Caenorhabditis elegans: one gene and its partners. The protein of the gene in region 4 purifies or fractionates together with the protein of the main gene of each other region. This does not show direct contact. Each region holds a gene or a part of one and is shown on either strand. Other genes may lie near its edges. The genes, in order: hsr-9, B0395.3, usp-3 and rfp-1.

The links.
Region 1: the proteins of rfp-1 (region 4) and hsr-9 fractionate together in Caenorhabditis elegans (co-fractionation; one large-scale study listed by BioGRID). This does not show direct contact.
Region 2: the proteins of rfp-1 (region 4) and B0395.3 fractionate together in Caenorhabditis elegans (co-fractionation; one large-scale study listed by BioGRID). This does not show direct contact.
Region 3: the proteins of rfp-1 (region 4) and usp-3 fractionate together in Caenorhabditis elegans (co-fractionation; one large-scale study listed by BioGRID). This does not show direct contact.

What each region holds. Positions count from the first base shown.
Region 1 is NC_003279.8:9,624,257-9,631,355, forward strand, and holds hsr-9 (Protein hsr-9), read left to right. Parts: upstream 1-1,984; 5' UTR 1,985-2,018; coding exon 2,019-2,043; intron 2,044-2,210; coding exon 2,211-2,247; intron 2,248-2,294; coding exon 2,295-2,361; intron 2,362-2,405; coding exon 2,406-2,834; intron 2,835-2,882; coding exon 2,883-4,088; intron 4,089-4,135; coding exon 4,136-4,244; intron 4,245-4,292; coding exon 4,293-5,332; intron 5,333-5,378; coding exon 5,379-5,593; intron 5,594-5,686; coding exon 5,687-5,972; intron 5,973-6,018; coding exon 6,019-6,102; 3' UTR 6,103-6,592; downstream 6,593-7,099. Other genes in the region: T05F1.2 (F-box associated domain-containing protein), read left to right, coding at 1-108, 154-350; rps-19 (Small ribosomal subunit protein eS19), read right to left, coding at 851-910, 1,112-1,281, 1,325-1,535. UniProt on the Caenorhabditis elegans protein: May have a role in DNA double-strand break repair following gamma-irradiation.
Region 2 is NC_003284.9:16,034,503-16,041,039, forward strand, and holds B0395.3 (Choline/carnitine acyltransferase domain-containing protein), read right to left. Parts: upstream 4,730-6,537; 5' UTR 4,724-4,729; coding exon 4,663-4,723; intron 4,614-4,662; coding exon 4,510-4,613; intron 4,463-4,509; coding exon 4,382-4,462; intron 3,852-4,381; coding exon 3,679-3,851; intron 3,625-3,678; coding exon 3,459-3,624; intron 3,156-3,458; coding exon 2,984-3,155; intron 2,876-2,983; coding exon 2,694-2,875; intron 2,401-2,693; coding exon 2,300-2,400; intron 1,635-2,299; coding exon 1,378-1,634; intron 1,327-1,377; coding exon 1,226-1,326; intron 1,169-1,225; coding exon 722-1,168; 3' UTR 534-721; downstream 1-533. Other genes in the region: mboa-1 (O-acyltransferase), read left to right, coding at 45-175.
Region 3 is NC_003279.8:13,948,628-13,953,500, reverse strand, and holds the start of usp-3 (Ubiquitin carboxyl-terminal hydrolase), read left to right. Parts: upstream 1-1,870; 5' UTR 1,871-1,872; coding exon 1,873-2,003; intron 2,004-2,082; coding exon 2,083-2,397; intron 2,398-3,711; coding exon 3,712-4,008; intron 4,009-4,873. Other genes in the region: rps-6 (Small ribosomal subunit protein eS6), read right to left, coding at 356-597, 653-1,013, 1,186-1,323.
Region 4 is NC_003281.10:8,357,060-8,363,063, forward strand, and holds rfp-1 (E3 ubiquitin-protein ligase bre-1), read left to right. Parts: upstream 1-1,562; 5' UTR 1,563-1,567; coding exon 1,568-1,693; intron 1,694-1,747; coding exon 1,748-1,915; intron 1,916-1,964; coding exon 1,965-2,104; intron 2,105-2,153; coding exon 2,154-2,637; intron 2,638-2,699; coding exon 2,700-2,825; intron 2,826-2,916; coding exon 2,917-3,537; intron 3,538-3,665; coding exon 3,666-4,054; intron 4,055-4,103; coding exon 4,104-4,484; intron 4,485-4,950; coding exon 4,951-5,029; 3' UTR 5,030-5,424; downstream 5,425-6,004. Other genes in the region: Putative RNA-binding protein R05D3.8, read right to left, coding at 1-107, 177-275, 397-486, 540-835, 885-1,032, 1,083-1,205; R05D3.9 (uncharacterized protein), read right to left, coding at 5,425-5,529, 5,579-5,700, 5,793-6,004. UniProt on the Caenorhabditis elegans protein: E3 ubiquitin-protein ligase that mediates monoubiquitination of 'Lys-117' of histone H2B. H2B 'Lys-117' ubiquitination gives a specific tag for epigenetic transcriptional activation and is also prerequisite for histone H3 'Lys-4' and 'Lys-79' methylation.

The DNA of each region.
Region 1 (7,099 bases), on a different chromosome or scaffold from region 4:
AATCAAATATAGAAGAAGCAGGAGTTACTCCGACGAACGCCGAATCCAAAAACATGTCCTCAGGGCAGCACAGTAAACAAAACTCAAGTGATGAGACTCAATCTCGAGGTTTATTTCTAGATAATTATTTCTAGTTAAAAGTTGAATTTTTAGACCGATCTGGTTCGGGTGTATCAGGAACTTCATCGAATGGCGAGGTATCATCTACTCCGGGTAGGACTGTTTGGCACGGAGGTGCGTGTGCATTGCTCCAGATTTCCCAAGATAAGAAGAACATTTTGTTCACGGCAATTCACAACGAGAAGTTCGCATGCGAACTTGCTAGATTCCGCTTTTCTACATCTAAATAAATGTCCACCAACATTCATTTAAAAATTGTATCTATCGTTGTATGATAACTAATCTTTAAAATTTTTCCGACTTCCAATTGATCGCAAGTTTGTGAAACCATAAATAGCTTAACCCTGTATTTTATTTTCTTTATCAGAAATGCCTTTCGCGATGTTTAGCGAAATAATTTGGGTATCAGAATAGGAAGTTAGTTTCTGCTAATAATGTTTCAAATTTGATTTCGGAAGAGCAAGTAGATATATTAATGATTGTATTCAAGTTCTGTAGCTTTGTTCTAAGGTCCACTAAAGACGTATAATATTTTGTAGACTGATTATTTCACTATTCAAAAAAGTGAGAACTATACAGGTGTATATATTCAAACGTTTCGGGCGAAGTTTTTCTTTAATAACTTTTTTTTCTGATTCATAATTTGCGCCATCATCTTACTTTCTTGTTAATGGAGATGTATCATGAAGTTTTTTATAACAACAACATTTATAACACAAACAACGAGTGTTTAGGCTTGTTGTCCAGAGGATCTGAGGCTGGTGGCGATTCTGTCAAGATCCTTGCGTCCCTGCAAAATTTAGTTTTAGTACGATGTTGAAAATTTCGAGAAAATTCAAAAAAGAAAACATGCAGAAATTTAATTTTAATATAAACATCTAATTTTGCATGTTTAATTTTCAGCGCATATATTTATGAATAATTTTTAATAATTTATTTTTACAAAAAAGTTCGAATTTTATATTTTTAGATAATAAAATAGAATACTCACCTGCTTGGAGAGAATTCTTCCTTTGCCGTCTGGGTGCTTCTCAACCCACTTGATCTTCTCGAGTTGCTGAACAGCCTTTCTGAGGCAGTTTCCAGCTGAGGTTTGGAAATGGTTTGGTGCAACACCACGTCTCTTGTTTCCTCCGTAGACCTTCTTGAAGGCTCCGATTCCTAAATAGAAAAATAAGTAATGATTTTGTCAATAAAAAGTTACCGGCGGGGCGGAAATACAAGTGACGAGCAAGACTGGCAGCACGGGTGTAGAACCAATCTGGATCGACTGGGGCAAGCTCCTTGTTGACTCCGAGCTTAACAAGATCGGACCACTCTGGAACCTTAACCTTTCCACTCTTCTTCAAGAAGTGAGCGATGGACTTGGTAGCCTCGTGCTGGTCGACGTCCTTGATGGAGGTCGCTCTCGTCATTTTACCTGAAAAGGAAAAGTATAGCTTTGAAAAAATCGTATATTAGAAGACGGAAAGAAAACCCACTGCCAAAAAAACTATTCTTAACAACAAGCGCTTCAGAAAGTGGATATTATTTAAGAAAACTGTAAACGTAACATATTTCCTCCCAATCAATACATAGAAACTCGAAAAACCGTGAAAATCGCGTCAAAAAATTGAAAAAACCTGTAGGAAAAGAAACGAAAAAATTCTTCACCGCTGATCGTAAGACATAACCTGCATACCAATTGGCTGCGTAGCGACTCGGCACGCGACCGCAACGCACCGGGCGACACTCAGTACATTTTTTGAACAGCGGGGGCGGGCGTTTGAATTGAATTTTCAAACGATTTTTTTTGACGTCGTAACTTTTTGTTTCGCAGACACTTTTACGCTTAAAATGGCAAAATTAAACACATATGTTACAGCATAGACTTGAAGAACTGAACTGCTTGGAGGAAAATGGCATCGTCTTCGAACACTATGGGTAATTTTTTCGATATAATAAGAATGTGAAAGGTTAATTAATATTTTTGCGGGTCAAGCATATAAAATTCAACCTTATTGAAATTAAGGTGGTCACTCGAAGTGAATATCGACTCTAAAAATTAAACTTAACTTACGTGAAGTTTTCCTTTTATTTTCTGTTTTCAGAATTCGAAGAAGACGACTCCACCGTCACACAGACAAGGTTACCTGCTTTTCGAGTATCCATACATATTTATCCCACTATTTCAGCCTCCCCACAACAACTTCAGTTCTGGATAAAAGTAGGAGTCTTTTTGGGAACTCTGCTGTGATTTCTGTAAGTCCAGTGTGTTTGTATTAATCTAAAATTTGCTTACTTAGACCCCAGCTAGAGATTCAACTCCTGATGGGCACATAGTCGATTCGAGTGTCATTACCAAGTCATCAGTTATCATAGAAGCGGAAGACGAGCCAGATGTAGCTGCCGATGTTACTGCACTTGATAAAGAAAAGGCAGAAGATGAGCCACAATGTTCAGCCGGTAAGGATGCTAAATCTGGAGAAAGCATGAACGACTCGGAAAAGTCTGAATCACCAATTGAAGAAGGAGAGGGAGAAACTTTCGAGAAAAAAATTATCTCGATGGATACTAGTGACGATAAATTAGACATTGCTGAATCGATTTCTGTTTCAAATGATACCGAGAAACCTGAAGAAAATGAAGAAAAGGTGGTTGGAGATGAAGATGAAGAAGATATTGATGATGTGCAAGAAGACGACGAAGACGAAGCTCCAAAAAAGAAAACTAAGGTTTGTTGATAATTCGAAAAACCTAATTTTAATCAATTAATATTGAAGAAGGCAGTGTCAACGTCAGATGACGACGATCTGCATGAAGATGATTCTCCAAAAGGAGGTAGTGTGAGCGACGAGAAAGAAGAACCAGAGAATGAGGACGATACAGAGGAACCCGAAAATGAGGTTGAAGTAGAAAGTCCAGTGAAAGAGCAAGCAGATAGTGGTGAACCTATTGAGAATGTTAATGATGACAAGGCGTCTGAACCAGGCGTTGGTGAGATTTCACAAGACAGTGTTGATGATTCTCAAAAAATTGGTCTCGATTCAAAATCGCCAGATGGAGAATCAGAAGCAAATGAAGAGAACCAAGAATCTCAATCTTCTAGCCGCAGCACTCGTCGCGCTAAAAGAGTTTCAGCAACTGTTTCGTCTACTCCTTCGTCAAACACTCCACGCCGTGGTGGTCGTGGGCAAAAATCGGAAGTGAATGCAGATGAAACGAAAACGCCCATTGTTAGTAACAGCACCCCCAGGCGTGGTCGATCTTCCAGGGGTGGAGACAGAGATGAAGTAATTGATCCTACGGAGAATGTTGTTGGCGACTCTGGCGTTGAAGAAACATCACCGCGCAAGGGAAGATCAAGACGCTCTGTTGCAACAGAAGACACATCTGTCACCGAGGAAGTTGAAAACACGGAACATCCAACTGAAGAAGAAACTCCGAAACAGGGGCGTGGAAGACGTTCAGCTGCATCTTCTTCAGCAACTTCGTCTGCAGTGCCAACACCGCGGTCCACAAGAGGAAGAGGAAGAAAGTCGCAAGCAAATGAGGAAAACTTGCAAGAAAAAGAAACCGAAGACCCTACAAAAACTCACGATACAAACCAAGCGAAGTCCACCCGAACTCCGCGAGGAAGGCGTTCTAATGCTGATGCTGAAACTATGGAAAGTGTAGAAGCTGAGAAAGTCGAAACTCCAACATCATCTCGTAGATCTACAAGGGCTAAGCCTCCTGCAAAATCTGCTCCGGTGACGCCGGCTGTGACAAATAAACGAACGACAGTTCGTGGAAGAAAGAAGCAAGGTTCTATCACAGAAGACCCTATCGAAGAAGCTGATGAGACTATTGAAGAAACTCTACCACAAAAGAAAGGTCGTGGAGCAGCTAAAAGTGCGCCTTCATCGAGCAAGAAAAGTGCAGAATATGATCCATATGATCTTGATACTGAAATGGAGCATCATCCAGAACCTTTGAAGAATATTCACGTGAGAATTAAAAATTAATGTTTATCTGTAATTTTGCTTGTTTTCAGATGGAAGTGCACAATTTTGGTGCTGTCAAGTATGCCAAATTGGGTAATTCAGAGTCAAAGTATTCTATGACAGAGAAGGCGGCAGAGTCTAGAATTGCTGAGTTACAATGTAAGTTGTTTTGTAGTTTCTTGAAATTAAGAATATCTATGCTTTCAGCTTCTCCTGCTGCTAAGAATCGGCGTTCTCTTGCTGATATGACTCCTGGTAAAGATAAGATGAAGCATAGAGTATCGTCTGTAGGAACTTCGGGAAGAAGATCAAGAGCTAAAAAGGAGGAAGAACATCACGAAAATGATATTGAAATGGAAGATGCGCCTGCAACTGCTACCCCAGCTTCGTCAAATCGTGGAAGAAAGAGAAAAAGTGAAGCTTCTGACATCAAAACACCTCCGGCGAAAAAAGAACCAGTTATTCCTCTTAAAAATCTATCTGATGAGGATCAACTACTAGTTGATCATCCACAAGACGATAATGAACCTCATGCTCCTGGAGCTCGAGTCTACGCTGTGTTTCAGAAGATGTTTTATCCCGCTGTCGTTCTTTCGGAGCGTGATGGTCTCGGAAGATACAAGGTACAATTCACGGTTGATAACGTCATTAAAGATGTTCCAAATTCTGGAATCATTCCACTTCGCGCTTTATCCCCTGGCAAAACTGCAGTCTACAACGAATCCGATGTTCGATTGGATTCTGGTCCTAACGATATTAGTGCTGCGGAATGGAAAAAAGGAAAATTAACCATATCGATCATGGATGAAGATGGGGAACCAACTGACGAAGTGAAGGTTGTTGATTGGTATGATGTTTCTTTCGATCATTCAGAATGGCGAGACTATGTTAAAAGCAAAGATCAAAGTGCTACGGCTATTGTTACGTCTAATATTACTACAATATCGGAGGCTACTCGTGCTCGTAAGCCAACTACAGTTTCTAATCAAGCAAAACCAAAAGGTCGTAAGAAGAAGGGAGTTGATCTAGTTTCCTCTAGAGGAGGATCAGCAAGTCCGGCTGAAGAAGAAGAAAAGCTTTTGCCAATGAACGAGGAAGCTATTGGAAAGAACATTTTCACCGGAAAGGTCTTCATGCTAACTTCGGCCAATCGTTCAAATTCTGCGAGTGTTCCTTCAATGTTCAAAAAGAAGAATCTGATGAACTTCATTACTCAGAATGGTGGGATCGTCACGGAGCAGCTTAATGTAAGATAACGTCTTACAAATAACATTCTAATCATTTTATTTTAAGAGCTTCCAAGAGCGTTACTCCAACTACGAACCATTGCTGATTTCTGATACGTACTATCGTACTCACAAGTACTTGGCAGCTTTAGCTCGTGGTGTTCCTTGTGTTAACAATACATGGTTACAAGCATGTGGTGAACAGGGGAAATGTGTCGACTATACGGACTATGTTCTTCCTGCAGGTGCTTCAATTTTTGACGAGTCTCAGGATATGCCAGCGTAAGTGAACTTTCATGATGAATGATTTCAATTCCGTTAGATTTTTGATTTTTATAACGATTCTGAAAATTCTGATCATCGAAAACATTTAAGGCCCAAAAATCCATCAGAGCTTTTGAAAGGAACAACAATTTATGTACACTCAACTCACTCAGCTCGTGAAGTAACACAAACTGGACCCGGAGGAACTTTCATCGAGATTTGGAAACCTATTCTTGAGCTTCTCGGTGCTGATGTAGTCGACGGAGACTGGGAAACTCTTGACGAAACAGGTCTCAAATTTGACGTTGTTTTAGTTGATGGAACTTTCCGTGACGAAGTCATGGAGTATGCAGATACTATTGGAGCAAGTAGAGTCACTTCCGAATGGGTTATCCAAGTGAGATTCCGTTTTCCTCGTCGTTTAATTGTTATACATTTTTCAGACAATAATTCTTGGCAAAGCTCCTGAGCCAAATGCTCATCCAAAATTCGATCCATACCGTCTGCATCACCGCACGCGTCATTGAATATCATCTCATCTCACCCCCTTTCCCCATTTCCCTTCTCATTTTGTACACTACGTTTTTATATCAACTTTTTAAATAACTATTCTACTTTCCCTACCGTGCTCCATCCGCTGAAATATCGTCGATCTCTTACTCGAAAATTTACCCGCTCAGTGTGCTGGTCAACAAGCGGTGACATTGTATGCGTATTCATTAACCATTTTTTGTGAATTTTTGAGCTCTTCCCAATTTATTATTATAGAACTGCATTTTCTAAGCCCCTGTTTTGAAGCTCTTCCATCTTTTTTAAATCACGATCATCATTCCTTTCCCAGTTACTTCTGCAACGTATTTATTATAATTTATTCGAAAGCTTCTGAGAACTTTTTAACTATTCCTTTTTGCATCAAAGAGTAACCTAACATAGTGTTTTACTAACCTACAGTACATTCATATGAACACCTTTTGTTGCTTATTCTGAAATGAAAAAATGAACTGTACCAATAACGTTGTCAATTTTCTTGATTTGGCAGCATTAGTTTCAAACAATTAACAATATTTCAAACAGTTCGTTTTCTCTGAAATTTAATGCATTCCCAATTGAGCTCTTTAAATTAATAATTGAGAAACGGGAAAACTACACTCAAAATAATAAAACTGCGTGGCGTGTACTGCAGAAAACCTCATATTTAGGCCCCGCCTTTTTCTTGTCCACTCACGGAGAAAAGGCGGGGCCTAAATATGAGGTTTTCTGCAGTACACGCCACGCAGTTTTCTTATTTTGAGTGTACTCAACATCATGAATTATAAAAAAAAATATCGCTTGAAATATTCGAACTTTTGATTTCTACTTCCCATCAATAAAGGCCCATCAATAAAATTTAAAAAAAAAACATTTAATACATTGTTCGGAAATAACGACAGCCACAAATTCCGCTTTCTGAGCGAAAAAATATAAAATAAACAGTTTTATTCGATTCTTTGTATAAAACAACTATTTTTCCTCTTGTTTAAATAA
Region 2 (6,537 bases), on a different chromosome or scaffold from region 4:
GCTTTAGAACATGTTAAAACCACTAAAATACAACCATCTTTCAGGAACCGGAATGTTCATTGCTTTCTACGGCCAAGAATGGTACGCGAGACGTGGACACTGTGCCCCGTACTCCAATGCCGTTGTGGACCTTTTGTTCCCGAGACATTGGAATTGTCACCCACCAACTTCATGAAATCTCTAATTATTTGTCACACGGGGTATTCGTTTTTTTTTTTTGTATTTTGTTGATTTTATTTGAGAATTATTTTTTAAACTGTACAAAAGTTTTGTCACTAGTTTTTACAGAAAAAATAAATATTAGTTACTTGATAGAAGTTGGTTCATTGTAAAATATGCTTATTTGTACCAAAAATCTTTTGATCGGTCTGCTAGATAAATGCACACAATTTTTATGGCAGGAATAGCATATTTTAAACTATCGATTTTAGCAAAACAATTCTGAAATCAATCACATTTTTTCTCTATTTCTTGGCTATCACCCCAATATTAGATGTTTTGTAGATTTATCGTGGATATTTGTGATACACCTCTGACGGAAACGTATTTATTATACAAATTATTTATTCATATAAAATGTTTTCATAAAATATCTACAAGCATTTTCAATCAATTACAATAAAGCAGAAAAAAAAACATTGGGATCTGAACACGTAGGAGCACTAGTTATGGCGTGTGAAATGTTATTCTTTAAAAAAAAGTAGTATCAAAATATGATCTCCTACAACTTGGACATTTCTTTTGTAGCCTTATTAATAACCGATTTCATGTCAATTAGCGCCTTTTGAAGTTCCTTGGCAAACTTCTTGGAACTCGTCGAGCCGTAGCTCTTGAATGTTGAGATCATAAAGTGAAGTTCAGTTTCCTGTGGGTTGTAGCAAATTCCATAGCAATCAAGGGCAGATGGTCCGAAGCACATTTGGATGAAATGCCGTGTGGGAACTTGACTTGTGGAGACTTGGAAATGGTTGAGTTGTTGGTAGATGTTGGAACCGAAGATTTCTGGGGTTGGGAGATTATTTTCAGTAGCGATCAACTTCCATGCCAATAAATGTCTGTCCATTCCAGCTGCATCCATACAATCCATGGTGTACTTTTTATGCGAATTTGTTGCGTGAACAAGTGCATCGTAGATTTCACTAACCGGCGTAGGAGGCTTAGATACCATCTGAAAATTGAGTGAGTTAAATTGGGTGATCGATCTAGGTCACACACAAACACACACCTTCTTGACAAATGATGCTGCAGCTGTATTCGGAGATCGGATGTTCTCGGTTCGACCCTCGGTGAATTTACGCAAAGTGGCCGTCTCGTAGGTTGGTGGAACTGGAAATTTAATTCGTCATCAAATTGTAAGATGGGGGATAATTGACTTACGCGATGAGTGGATCCGGTAGAAAGCTAATTGGTAAGCCATTTGGATGAACGAGTCGGGCGAGATCTTTGAGGATTTCGGGAAATTCTTTCCGTAGGGCTTGAACGTGAACGCGACGATATCAAGGTCCTCGGCGATGCTGTCCATGTTCTTGGAGCTCTTGGCGATTCTTTTGTTGATTTCCTCGTCAGTGGAAATATCGAGACGTTGCACTGGGGAGTTGGAAGGTGTGCCTTCAGTAATGAATGTGTTAGCATCACTGAAAAATTGAAGGAAATATAATAGATATATTATCTTAAATGTTACTAACTGAAGATATCCAAGCTACCAGAATACTTTTTGCAACATTTTAAATAAACTTGTTTGATGAAGCGTAGGATCAGAAATATTTATATTGCTATGGTTAAAGGTGGAGTAGCGCCAGTGGGAATTTGGTCTGAATACACTTATTATGATCCAACACGACAGAATATCATAATAAAACACTCCAAACATTTTTCGATTTTTCATAATTTCCGGCCGAAGTTTTGGCAAACTGCCAATATTTTGAAAAACGACACATGCAATGTTTTAAGACAAATTATTTAAACAGAACTACAGTATAAAAAAATGTAGGAAAAATTTTTTTTTTGGTCGACTTCCAAAATTATATGTGGAAAAACTGAGTAACTGTCACTGTTTGACAGTAAATAAAAAAATTTTAAAAAACTTTTGAAAGGATTTATTATGATATTCGGTCATTTTGGCACCATGTGTAGGAGTAGTTTTTCACAAGTTCCCCACTGGCGCTACTCCACCTAAAGTGCCACAGTTCCGGTTTTTGACCCAACGATAAAACGAAAAAGACAACATTTTAAATTTCTGTTCAAATTCAAGTTTTTCAACAAATTTTTTTGTAATCAGTTATAAATTTCAAAAACTCACAATTGATCACAAATAAAATCCATGAGTGCACCGACTGGTGGTCCTTCGGCTGGAGTGTGCTCATACGTCATTCCGGTGTAGCCATTTGTTCCGATGACAAACTGAAATTTCCAGGTATATTTTTTGCTATTGCAATGCAAATGTGCTCTACTGATCAAATGCAAAAAAATGAGTGCATGAACGATAAACACGTGGTGTAAGAGTGTCTCATGTCGGCTTGATCTACAAAGATCTACAAAAAATGCGGGAGAAGAGACGCAGAGTTCTCAACTGATTTCGTCTGGTTAAGAACGTGTTGACGTATAATTTTTATGGGCAAAAAATTCCCGCATTTTTTGTAGATCAAACCGTAATGGGACAGCCTGACACGCCGTGGATAAACTAAATAACACACCTGAATAGTCTTGTCAAACCATCTGTTGCTCGAGTTCACTTTGGAGCCGCCACCATGCAGTGCCTGCCTACTTTGCTCATCTTTCTCCGTGTAGCCAACTGGTGGTTCACTAGCTTTGTCAAGACAGACTACGAACAACGATTTTTCGACGGCTTCCAGGGATTTCGCGTTGTTGTTATCCTCTGAAAATAGTATTATTATCAGCATAGCTAGCTTCAAAGAAAATCTTCACAATGGAGCTAAGCAAAACTTCTACATTTGGCTTGAAACTTTTTTTCTCGAAAGCTCACTTTTCAGCGATGAGTATACATTTGCCCATTTGTCGCGACTATCGGAGGAGACAATTCCCACTGGATGTGGGTTTGGAGTTTGACTCTCTGAAACGACTTTTGCCAGTTGCTGAGTAATAGCAAAAATTGAGAGTGGCTGCTCGTTGGAGTCTAGGACTTGGACGCGGAAGAGCTGAAAATGTAGGGAGATTTTAACGGTTTTGTTGAAATCTGTTTGCAATATTTTTTTCAACTTCAATTAGATGGAACAACTGAAGTCTTATGGGGTTATTCAAGAAGTGTCGAAAAATTAAAAAGTGTAGAAAAATTAGGTGCAAACTATATTAAAATACATTTTTTGAAAACTTGTATTTTAATACAGTTGTGACGTAATAAATGTATTTAAATACATTTTGCAACATTAATTGAATAACCTCATTAGTCTTTATAAAGAATCAGTGATACAATTTTTAAATAACATTTTTTAAAAACTCACATGTCCATTTCTAATCACTAAAATGTGTTGCAATTTCTCCTTATAGTCACATCCATATCTAATCTCATCTACGCCAACCTTAGGTACCCTAGTTGTTCCAAACAAGAACTGGTACTGGCTCATATCAAGCGGCGACTTTCCTGCCATATCAGGCTTCAACTGATTACTGAAAAAATGTTTTTTGAAAACTAAAAAACATCGAATTGAACCAGAAGCCTACTTTTTTGCTCGAAGGTAAAAGTGGACAGCGGCTTGGCTGATTTTTGCTGCATATTCCAGTTGTCCCTCCTCGGTGTTATAGTCAAATTTAGGGAACATGACTCCTGGAGATGTGACGACTGGAAGTGGGGTACGAGCAGCTAGGTAGGCGATGTTGAGCCACCATGGTGTGAGCTGAAAATCTTTTGTTTGAATCGGTAAAAAAACGCCAACTTGCTCAATTTTAAGATAGTTAGTTTTTAGATATATTATAAAACCATGTGTTAAATTTGGAAATCTATTTTTATGGCGCTGGCCCTGTCACTTTTTCAGCAACATTTTGATTTCATTTTGATGTTTTCAATTTATAGGCTGGCGGATTATTTTGTGGACCAATTTCCAAGAAATTGTTTGTTTTGCAAAGAAAAAATTATTTAATATAAACGCCCAACATTATGCCTAATACCTGATAGGTATTACTTATGCCGTTAAATATTTTCAAAATATTGTAAAGTTTTCTAGTATCAAACTTTTTAAAATTAGGTTTAGGGTACACTTAAAGGTGTCATTGGTTTGCAGTAAAGCTAAACCTATAAAGTTAATTGATACATTTCTATTTTTTTGGTCCAAACTGAAAATTAACTACTCCTAATCATAAATGGGGAAGTTGTTTTGAATTTATTTTTCTAATTATTTTTTTTAGAAAAAAGTGTTAAAAATCTTACCCAATTCGGAAGTGCGTCGGCTCGTTTCTGCAGCAGTTCTTGCAATTTCGGCAAATCCTTAACCACAAAATCATTTACAATCTGAAATTGACATTTGTTTTGCTCCAAATGTTTTTTTTTATTTTTACCTGTTTTGTCTCTTGAAATTCCTTTTTTGACTGCAACGCTTGTGCAAAGTCCAGGAAGTGTTTCAGCGTTTTAATTGGTTGTGGAGCCGGGAGTTTTGGTAGGTCTGAAACGTCATCAATGTATTTACAATCGAAAAAAAGGTTTAGTCTCACCTGTTGAATTATAACGGGCTGCACCGTGACCTCCGGCCATTGCGTTGACACTGTGCTTCATTAGTTGCTGCAAAATGAATTTTGAATGCTCAAAATTTTGAGGGAACAGGTAATCCCTCACAAAACGCTGCGAAAAGTTACTATAGTGATAAGTGAAAGACGTTTTGTGGGGGAAGACCCGGGTGGGGGAATGTTATCAATGATCATTCAGACTACACTACGCCGTAGTCCAAATTTTATATGGTCATTTTGGTCAGCATTTAATATTTTTGGGGAGAAACTCACGGAGATCTGTGGTCGAATCATTGTTTGACATTTCAGCATTTTTTCGACGGGTTTTGTTACTCAAATTGATGAATATAATGTAAGCTTGTATGAAAGAAAGAGAATGTAAAAGGGAATGCACCATGTTGGTTCAATGCAATTTTTTTTTAATTTAGCGTAAATAATAGAAGAGTGATCTGTTAACCAAAAAAATTTGTTGTATGTTAATTGAAAATTGTTTTGAAAAATTTTCAAAAAATAAATGAAGTCTCACAAAAAAATTCGTTTTTTTTTTGGCATCTGGCAATTTTATAACAACTTTTTGCATTTTCTCACATGTTTAAATTTAAATAATTTTTTTTTAATATTTTGGAACTAAATTTTAGTTAAAGAATAGCGCCTGTGGGGATTTGATCTACATACACTTGTCAAAAACAACCGAATATCATAATAGAACACTCAAAAAAATTTAAAAATTTAAAATTTTTCATAATTTCAAATTGCCAAAACTTTAAAAAATATGAGCAATGTCATATGTTCCAACCCTTACAATGTTTTAATACGATCAATTAAAACAAAATTAAAGTAAAAAAAATATAAGAAAACATTTTTTTTGGTCGACTTTTAAAATTATGAGTGGCAAAACTGAGTAATTGTCACTTTTTGACAGTAAATAAAAAAATTTCAAAATTTTTTTTGAAAAGTTTTATTTTTTTTATTCGGTCATTTTTAGCACTATGTGAGTAGTTTTCAAAAATATCTATACTATATCTTTATTTTTCTTTGGAAAATTTAAAACTTAAAAAACATTTTTAAAAAGTAACAAAACAAAAAAAATAATTTGTTGATTTTCAGAGTGTAAAAGTGTTCCAAATGTTTGGGGCGTAAGATCAAAGTGTTTAGAAAACGAGTGACGGCGGGTGAATGGCAGGGGTCATATGGGAAGAGAGGAGTGTGTGTGTGTGTGTGTGTGTGTGGTGATGTAGGGGGCACAAACAGAAAGACCAGGCGGAACGCAGAAAACACAGGCAGCGAAAACAGAAGAAACCGAGTAGTTGTGTTGTGTCCAAAGAGTGGGGGGGGGGGGGGGAGGAAATGGAGGCAAGTTAAGTTCTCTCCTACCACACAAAAACCCCGCGTGGTATCCACAAAGAGGCCGAGAAATGGAGGAAGAAAACAACGATGTGTAGCCAAATGGTGTGAGTTAATGAGAAGAGGTCATTGGATTTGGATGGCAGCCAGTAATTGGATTGTGTAGTGAAAGTGTTAATTTTTCTGTTTGACATTTTTTAAGACACAACTTATGGAAATTACAAGTTGAACCAAACGTTTTAATATTATTTCAGAAAACTAATGGAGTTTCATTATTAAAACTTTTTTTTTCAATTTCTGATGAAACAAATTTTAAAAAAATCGCCTAAGCATAAATATTTGCAATTTGCTTCTCAAATTCATAATTAGCGGAAATATAATGTTATTCGAATGTTTCCCCATCATTGTTTTTATTCCAAATAAAAAATTTTAGCAACATTTTGTCTTTGGAGTATTTTTTTTTTAAATTGAATACTTTTTGAAAGCAACTTGGATCCCCGAAAATTTGGAAATCTATCA
Region 3 (4,873 bases), on a different chromosome or scaffold from region 4:
AGCGCGCTTTATCTTAGCAGAATTAACACAAAAATGGACGACTCCCGTTTAGATGGAACGACTCTTTATAAAAAGGTCACACGAGAGACGCCTTCGGTTGAGTCATACAACTATCAGCCAAGCAAAGAACCGAAAAGCTTTGAAAGCTGCGAAGCCTGCTATCCGCCCCGCAGGCGAAGAACGGATCGACCAAGTACCCTGAGTGGCGTGCCAGGACTCGGAGTAAGCATTCAAAAAAATTAACAACGACAAATGGGTGCAAATATAATTGGTGAGACGAATGGAGTGAACAACAAAAAAAAAAGATTTAAGTTTAACAACAATTTCATTAGGAAACAATAACGAGCAGCAGTATTTACTTCTTGCTGGTCTTCTTGACCTCGGACTCGGAGTGATGGGAAGCCGAAGAGCGTCTGCGGGCGATCTTGGCGTCGTGCTCTTCCTTGGAGTACTTGGCGAGGAGCTTGTGGTAGGCAGCGGCGTCATCGCGCATCTTGATCTTCTGGTTGCGCTTCTGGCGGAGAAGGTACTTCTTTCTGGCGATACGAGCTGGGGTGATGAGACGCTGGATCTTTGGTGCGATGGTCTTGGTGACTCCTGGAAATTTAGACAGTTAAAAACTAAATTTAAAGAGAATATTGAAGAAACTCACCATCTGGGAAGGTCTTGTCGTGGGTGATGACGTATTTGGTGACATCGTCGTGCTTGGTCAAGTTGAAGAGCTTGCGGATCTTGGAGGCTCTCTTTGGTCCGAGCTTGCGTGGGAGAACGGAGTCGGTGAGTCCTTCGATCTCTCCATCTCCCTTCTTCACGATGACGAGGGAAAGAGCGGACATGTTGGCGTCGACGATGCATCCACGGACGGACTTTCTCTTGCGCTCTCCGTTCTTGCGCTCACGGTAGCAGGATTGTCCCTTCTTCAAGAGAAGACGAACACGTCCGTTGGTGAGAATTCCTTGCTTCATTGGGAATCCCTGCTTGTCGTTTCCTCCTCCGATTCTGACGACATATCCCTGGAAAAAAGCAACTCGTTTGAAAGAGCCGAGAATCGGTTCAAAAACAAAAACTGGGACTCTCAATGTATGTCTAGTCACAGCCATTTCAGCGAAGAAAAAGCACGTGAAACAATGAGGATTTGACACAGAAACATCACTTCGTTTCTGTGTTTTTGGGTGACTCGCTAACCTTCCACTCGTCACCGAGAGCATCGATGGCGACCTCCTGGGACATGCGCTTCTCGAAGAAGAGGCGAAGCTTCTTCTCCTCATCGACCTCGAACGACTTTTGGAGCCCGGTGGCTGGGTAGGCGAAGTTAAGTCTCATCGCTCAAATATTATTACCTGCAAGAAGAAAAACATTGGAAATGAGTTAACGGGGTGAGAAAAGGAGAAACTGAAGCGAAAAACGAAAACATGGGCCTAAAACTAATAAATTTGATTTTCCAAGCAAATATCCTGCGAAATGTGGAGGAAAACTATCAGGAAAACATTTAAAATTTTGAAAATTCGAAAAAAAAACCGAAAAGTTCGCCTAAAAATGAGAAATTCACCCAAAAATTCGAGGGAAAAATGAAAAAAGGAGCGAAAACTTTTTAGGCCAACGACAATTCCAGTTTAAAGGCGCACGCCCTTCGTGGCGAGACCCATCCCCCATCCGCCTCGTCGTCTGCTGCACCCCACCTTTCCCACACTATCTCGTCCGATGGATTTTATTTTTTTCCAAACTTTTCCGATTTTCCGACTCGATTTTCGGTTTTTCTTCGATTTCCGCCGAAAATTTGCTGTTTTTCTTGATTATCGATTTTTTATCCGCGTTTTAAGTGCCAAAACTTTGCTCTCACACTCAAATTGACTGATTTTCGAATTTTTTCAGATGCTTTGCACCCATATAAAGGCGGAAGATTGTGTGGAGCGTGTGCCCAAGGGGATGTTCCGCAAGAAACAGGACATGGAGGACAATAATTTGTTCTTGGAGGGAAATTCGAATCGTGGGAAGGTGGTGAAGTGAGTTTTTTTGAGAAATTTGGCTAGAAAATGGCTAAAAAAAGCTAAAAATAGCTTTAAAAACTCGTTTTTCTTCCAGAAACCAGGAAATAATTAAAACCTTCTGCGACGAATGCGATAATTGCAATAAATCGCTGATGTGCCTCACTTGCGGACGAATTCTGTGCGGAAGAAACGACTCGGGCCACGCTTTGCATCATTTTGAAGAAACCAGCCACCCAGTCGTCATTGATTGCATTTCTTTCGAGCTTTACTGCTATTCCTGTGATGATGAAGTGTCACTGGACTTTGAGCCATCTTTATATGGAGTTCTAAAATCGCTGAAGCTCCTTTTCGACCGGGAAGACGTTATGGAGGGAGGCGACGGGCCGACTATACCGGCACAGCCTTTTCAGTGCGTATTTTTCGAGGAAAATGGACTAAAAATTGGTTAAAAACCGATATTTTATCGATAAACCCTGCTAGAAATCGAATTTTCCACTGAAAAACGTTACAGTTCTCGTAAAAATCGTATTTCCCATGAAAAGTCCGATAAATTGCGATTTTCAGTGAAAAAAACGCCAATTTTCCTCAGAAATTCCATTTTTCTCTCTGGAATTTCTGAAAATTTTGATTTTTCAGTCAAAAACGTTCGTTTTCTCATAAAAATTTATTTTTCTTAAAAAAAAAAATGAAAATCCTAATTTTCATCGAAGAAACTTTAATTTTCCATTGGGAAATCATTTTTTCCGCAAAAACTTGAACAGAACCCTATTTTCCTCACGAGAATCACTAAAATTCCGATTTTCAGGTGAAAAAACATCAAAAAATCGTATTTCGCCCTAAGAATCCGAAAAATTCCGATTTTTCGGCAGAAACTCATCAATTTCTGCGATAAAATTCATTTTTCCCACTAAAAAGCCCCTAAATTGTGATTTTTCAGGGGAAAAAACATCAAAAATCCATTTTTCCTCCTAAAAAGCCAAAAAAATCCGATCTTTCAGCACAAAAAACTTCAAAATCCGTTTTTGCACCTAAACAGCCCAAAAATTCCGAATTTTTCAACGTTAACACTTTAAATTTATTTTAGAAAATCAGTTTTCACAATGAAAAAGCCCAAAACTTCCGATTTTTCAGCACAAAAAACATCAAAAAATTCATTTAGCCCACGAAAAATCCGATTTTTCCGTCAAAAACCTCATATTTTTACTAATTTTTCAATGAAAAACCTCCATTTTCTAGAGCAAAATCACATTTTTCTAAAAATATTCAAAAATTCCGATTTTTCAGCCCAAAAAACATCAAATATCCATTTTTCCCACTAAAAATCCACAAAAATTCCTATTTTCAGTAGAAAAATCAATTTTTTCCACTATAAATGTTCAAAAATGCGCGGTTTTTCAATAGAAAAACGTAACAATAACTCAATTTCCCACTTAAAAGCTCCCAAACGTTGATTTTTCAGCGTTAAATCTTCAAATTTAATTCAGAAAATCAGTTTTTCAACCAAAAAGCCCCAAAATTCCCATTTTTCAGCAGCACAAAAACATTAAAAAATCCAATTTTCCATATAAAAACTTCCGTTTTCTAGAGCAAAATCACACTTTTCCACCTAAAAATATTCAAAAATTCCGATTTTTCAGCCCAAAAAACATCAAATATCCATTTTTCCACCTAAAAAGCCAAAAAATTCCGATTTTCCACTCAAAAATCCTCAATTTTCTTTCAGAACAGTGACCTCAGTCGCCTCAACATTCACCCAAAAGCTCCACGTGGCTCCAGCTTCTCGAAATTCGAAGAAAAAACGTGGAAAAAAGGGAAAAGTCAGTCCAATGTTCGTCGATACACCACCATTCCAGCAGCAGCAGGGAGCCGCCGTAATTCATGACGTCACACTATCATCCACAAATTCTACGTCATCGGGGTCCGGCGGTGCCACGTCATCATCTGAAATTGCCTATAGGCCACGTGGAATGCGAAATGTTGGAAATACGTGCTTTATGAATGCCGTTTTACAAGCATTAGCGTACGTTTTTCACCTCGAAAGTGTGAAAAATTGGCTTTTTTGAGCCGAAATACATGAAAATCGGCCATTTTTGACCCTGAAAATGCGAAATTCATGCGCGAAAATCGGGTGTTTTCCGCCCCTTGAGAGTGAAAAATTGGTGAAAAACGCGATTTTTGACCCTAAAAATTGAGAATTTCATCGAAAATGAGCAGAAATTGTGATTTTTCCGTGAAAATTGTTAGGAAAACGCAAAAATTAGTTTATATTTTGCGTTTTTTAGTTGAAAATTGCAAAATTCTGCAGAAAACCACGGAAAACTCGTGAATTGTGCGTTTTCCGGTCTTAAAATTTAAAAAAAAAACCCGAAAAATGCGTAAAATTTCCTGTTTTAACGTCAAAAATTTTTCTTTTTTAAGCATTAGCGTACGTTTTTCACCTGGAAAGTGTGAAAAATTGGTGAAAAACGCGATTTTTGACCCAAAAAATCGGGAAAATCATCGAAAATTAGCCGAAATTGTGATTTTCACGTGAAAAATGCAGTTTTCTAGCAGTGAAAGGCTATTTTTCATGGAAAATGCCTCATTTTTTCAATAAAAATCGTAAATTTTACGTTTTTAACGCTAAAAATGCGTAAAATTCACCTTTTGAGGTTCAAAAATCCATTTTTTTTTGGCAATTTTTTCTGAAAATTGTATTTTTATAGCGAAAATTGCGTAAATTTCAACTAAAAATTTGAATTTTTGCCCTAAAAATGATATAAAATGTGTGATTTCACAGAAAAATGCCGATTTTTAATCCAAATACCGATTTTCATGGAAAATTTAACTTTTTCACCTAAAAAATGTCGTTTCTGCAGGTTTTGTTACAAAAATCCTATTTTAAT
Region 4 (6,004 bases):
TATCCTGCTGCTGCAGATGGATCATAGTGATTTGATGAAGCAGATGATGAGGCATGTACAGAAGTTACGGGACGTGACGGCGTTAGATAAGCAGTGTGATTTGGAGGCTGAAAATGTAATGCAATATTTTAAAACACGTTTTACAAGATAATTTATTTAAACTTTATAAAACTTACTAGTTGCACGAGGTTTTGTTGTTCCTGCTCTTTTATCTTATGTTCCGCTATTTTAACGGACTCCTTCAATACAGCACGTCGGGTGAACATCAGAACATCCTGAAAAATGTTTCATAACGCGTTATAATACGAGGTTGCAATCAAGTCCTGATGACTACGCCTGATATTGTTTGTTGAAGAATTAGTCGCATCTTTTTTTGAAAGCATTCTATATTCTCACCCTGATGTATATTGACTTGGTTAGAAGAACATCAACAGATCTGGAGTCTGCGAAAGTTATAATGCAGAAGTGAAGCGGCCCTTCTGAATCCTGCAACAATAAAAATTAACATGAAATAAACATACAAATAATTAAAAACTTACACTGACAAATTCTACATCTGTGATTTTTCCGTAGGCTCCAAAATTCATTTTCAGTTCTTTTGAAGTTAATCTGTCTAGTGGAAAATAAGAAACAAAAAGTCGTTTTGATTCTACTTTCAACTTCTTATCATTTTCATCTTTTGCTGGCTCAACAGTGCATTTGGCTCGATCGATTTCATGAATATCTGATTTCATGCAATTTGAATATCCGTTCGAATCAACGAAAGTGATGTAGGCGTAGCCTGCGCTAGTCTTTCTCGGCTCTTTGATAAATGCTTCACCTTCTCCAATTTTTTCTGGAACTCGGCATTTTTACTTTTTTCAAAAGCTTTCGAACTTACGTACTCATGTAACTCTCAAAATCGCCGTGTTTTTCAACATCGTATCGTTCGACATCGAGCTCGTCATCTAATACATCATCATTTTCCACAGGCTCATATCGAATCGATGATCGTGTTGAAATTTTCTCCTCGTCTGGTCCATTGTCGAATACCTATAAAATGAAAATAATGACATTTTCTATCAGAACAAGAGTTTCTGTACCGAATATCTAGGAGGAGGAGGTAGAATGCACTCGTATAAAGTTCCAAATTGTTCAAAATATTTTTTAACTGTCGATTCCGTTGTATAGCTATCCAATCCTTGCACAAAAATCCTTTTTACCATTGTTATTTGGACGAAAGACCGAAATTTGAGGAGAAAAAAACGAATTAAGAATTCGAAAGTCCCGCAAGTCTCGTAAATGCTGTTCGGTCGTAAATCTACCCCATTTCCGTCTCTTGACCGTAGTCACACACTCTCTCACTCAGGTCTCGCAACGAAAAGAGTGCCATTTGAAATGTCTCTTTGGAAATCTTTTTGTAATCACCTTTTTTGCACTCCAAAAACAATAAAATTGTCATCAAATCTGTTCAAAAACATTGATTAAGTATCCGTTAATATGTTTAAAATCTTTTCCTTGTTTTCCCTGCTTTCTACCATCTCTTTAACATTTTGTATACAATATTAGAAACGTATTGATTTCAGGTATGATGAAAAGAAGTAATGAAGGTATAGGAGGAGAAAATTATGCAAGTAGCCCGAGTGACGATGGACAACAAAAACGACGCAAAATTCAATTCGAACCGGTCCGAATGCCCGCTGTTAGCAACGTGGTATGTCTTTCATTTAAAATCGAGGATACTATTAATAATCCCTAACGATTTCAGAACGATATAAGAGCTCGTGCCGTAGTTTATCAGACATCTAAATTAAAGCAGCAATTGTTGTACAAAAATAAGCGAATAGCCGAATTGGAAAAAGAAAATGAACGGTCCAAGAGGCGGCAGCAGACAGACGAAAGCAACTTTCTGAAGGTTTATAATATGTTCTCAGATGTACGTTTTTACTTATTTTCAGATTGCAATTAGTTATTTTCTTTTTCAGATTGAGAAATACATATGTACACAAACTAAGAATGAGTTTGGAGAATACATCGGAGGAGACACTGCACCAACTGGTATAGACGTTCTTGGAATGACTAATGAAACATATAACAAGTTCTTTGATCAGGCAAAGCAGAATTTGTGAGTTTTAAATTATTAAAATTCACTCTTAATTTACATATTTCTATAGACGGAATGCATTCGTATCGTATGCTAAAGCGCGCCACGATCGGGCTCACGAATCCACCATTTTCATCGATAAACTAAAAACATTGATCGATTCTCCTACCTTCAATCCAAATGGTGTCCATAAGGAGCTTACAGCCAAAGCAGCAAGTTTAGCTATACAAAATGAAAAGCTTCAATCCGAAGTTACCAAAGTTCAAAGCGATTGTTACAATTTGGAACGGAAAAAGCGTATTCTAACGGATAAGCTTTCTGTACAAGAGAACAGAGTTCAAGAATTAGAACATCAATTGGAAGATGCCCGATTTGAAACTGACAAACATATGCGTCTTGCTAACAAATTTGAGTACAAACTAGCCACCCTCGTCTCGGAGGGACAGTCTGGAGGGAACGGAGGGGCGACACCGTCTTCGTCGGGTACAACAAATGCTACTGAGAAGAAGATATCAGCTCCAGATATTCCACCAAGTGAAACAGCTGCAAAAGAAGTGAGATTTAAAAATTTTTTATCAATCGAAATGAATAACGCATTTTTAAAAAATAATTTCAGATCGAAAATCTGCGTCTTGAACGAGATGAACAGGAATCCATTGCATCACGACGCCTTCAAGATCTCGAGGAGATGAATAAAAAAGTTCAAACATTAACACAGGAAAATAGCAAGCTAAGACTAGAGGTACCGTTTTGACTATATATTAATTTTTATCCATTACAAAAATATGAAATTTTTACCCGAATTTCTTCTATTACCTCTGAAATAGTTGCAGACACAAACTTTCTTCTCTGTGGATTCAATTGTCAACTCGGAGGAATACAAGAATCTTAAAAAGTACTACTCATTAGCAATTAAAGAATACGAGCGAGTCAGCAAAGATCTTGAAGATATCACAACAGAACGTGATGCTTTCCGCAGTGCAAAGGAAGCTCGTGCAATGCTAATGTCTGAAGAACATCAGAAGACGCTGAAGGAAATTCAATGTCAATCGGATATTCACAATTCTTTCTACAAAGTATCTCATGACAGTGAAGTTCTACGCTGCGAATTCGAAACTGTTAAGGAAGAATATAATAAGACGGTGAAGCAAAGCGAGTGGGATGAAATGAAAGCAACTTTGAATACTCTACGATCTATGAATAGATCGTTAAAATCAGAGAAAATTCGTTTGCGCGAAAAGGATAAGCAATCTCAAAAAGATATCAACACTCTCAAGTCTGAGTTAACTTCACTGAAAGAAGCCCAGGATAAATGTCTACTTGTTCCTCTTGAAGACGTTAGTAATGCTCCACCGGAAGATGTTAATAAAATTCGTCAAGAATACGAATCTTTGTGTAAAGAAGTAAAACGACTGGGAGCAATGGAAAAACAGGAGAAGCAGAAACAAGTCGAAGTAAGTCATTGTACCTTATTTGACAAAAATGTGTTTTCAAAGTACACGTCCTTTCGTTATTTGGTACTTTCAGTAAACTCTAAAACATTATTTCTGCGTCTGTTCATATCTCTACAATCCCGTGTGAGAATTTACAGAAAGAAGTCAATCGTCAAATTGCTGATAAATTGTCCGAATTGGAGACTCTTCGTAAGACCAATGAAATGCTGACTAATGACGAAGAATGCATATCTGATGAGTTAGAAGCCATTGGAACAGCTGTAGAAGAAGAACAAGAACGGAATGCTCAACTGTACATTGAGAAGCGGGAACAGGAGGATCGAAATCTGAAAATGATGAATGATCGAATGATTCAGAATCAGACATTTAATCGATTGCGTGAAAAATTGTCTTGTTTGGAAAGTAAAGCACAAACAGATGCTCAAATAGCAAAAATGCACGAATTTGAGAAGAAAGCAAATGAAGAGTTGGTAACTAAACTGTCGGAATCAGTTCAGTTCAAATCTGCCGAATTAACGTTAGTTTTGAATGTTAAGAAATCCATAAATTAAAATATCATTTTTTAGACGTCTCACAAACTTGATGGAACAACATAGAAAGAACATTCAAGAAGTTGGAATGTCACGAGACGAAAACCAAATTAAAGCGGATCGATGTGAAGGTCAAATGAAGCAAATTCAAGAATTATACGCTGCCAAGGCACGTGAAATCGAAGATTTTAAATTCAAGAGACAACGTGCTGAAGAGGAACTTGAGACGCTTCGAATTAAATATGAACGAGTAAAACGAAATGAGTCTGTACCGGCTCAAAGTGGTGATCAAGTCCTCGAGGAAGCGAATCGACAAATGAAAGAAACACTGACTTGTCCATCATGTAAAACGAGGCCAAAGGATTGTATTATGCTCAAATGCTATCATTTATTCTGTGAAACTTGCATTAAGACTATGTTAGTTTCATTTTTCAAACACTAAAATTGGTTGGTTTGACCTAGACGCAAAAATTTTCAATTTTTAATTAAAAAAAATGTATCGACACGCGTCTTTAGAGAGTACTGTAATTTCAAACTCTTGATGCTACGAAATTTTCATCAATTTTTCATAGTTTCTCGATAAAAAATGTCAACTGAATATGAAATTTAAAAAAAACCCGAATTTTAACAAATTGTGAGAATTTGGTATTACAATACCTATTTCTCACAATCTTTTAACTAATAAAAAAGTGCAACTAGTTATGAAAATTCCGCTAAAACAAAAGTCTGAGACTACAGTACTCTTTGAAGACGCACACCTTTTCCCATTTAACAAAACATTTTGTCGTGTATTTTCAGCTTGAAATTTCGCGTCGGAGTAAAACGAAAAATACATATTCAAGCGATATCTCGCATTTCTAGCTTATGATTCAAAAAATTCCAGGTACGACACTCGTCAACGGAAATGCCCGAAATGCAACAGCAACTTCGGAGCCAATGACTTCCATCGTATTTTCATCTAGAACCGCCATTAAATTATTTAGTAAATTTCCTCATTTTCTCAATCTCTCAGTTCAACATGGGTTTCTGTCCTCCGTTTTCTCTGTTTTGGTCCCTTCCCCTCCCCCCACCTCTCACAGCGCAATTTCTAAGCTTCTATCTTAAACTGTCTCATCCTATCAAGTTATTGAATCACTATCTCTATAGTTAGTCGGCTTATATTATTTGAATTCTGTTCTGATACTCTGAATCTCCGTGATGATGCCACGGCACGCACACATCCACAAGTTTATGAACTTTGTTGAAGTTGATATTGATATAATTTTGAAGTTGTAAATTCTTATGTTTTTTCTCATTTTATTAAAAATGTATAGTAATAGTTATTCTTGTTTCAAAAATTATGCATGATGATAATATATCAAAGTTCTGAATGTTGACTAGATTCTGTTGGTGCTCCACCTCCTTGCATAAATGGGCAACCACCACCACCACCCTCTGTAATTGGTGGATGACGAGAGAATGGCTGAAAATTCAAGAGATTTTATTTGACTGGAAACAAAACTTTTACTTACATCGGAATCCAGGAAAAGTGTGTGATCTGGAAGAACAAGAGTCTCCTCGAATCCGAATACTTCGTTCACTTTTTCAACTTGAAGATATCTTAATGGATGTGGCTCTTTTGTTGAGAGAACTTCTGTAATTTCGGTCTCGGCACGATGAATTCTTTGTTAAATTCAACAAAAATCACGAAACTTCGCGTATGGCTAAGTATCTGGAAAAACTCACGATCCGCTTCAGATGTAATAATCATCTGGAGAATTTTCTGAAGATGATCAGGGCATTTAGGCTTTGAAATTGGAATTCGATGCACTCGATCCTTGTTCAAAAACACAATTATTGATTCGTTCTCCCCAACTCCCAATGCTTTTTTGGTTTTCTTAATCATCTCACTTTCCCCATCAATTTTTGTGAAAATATAGGTTTTCCGAGCATCTTGC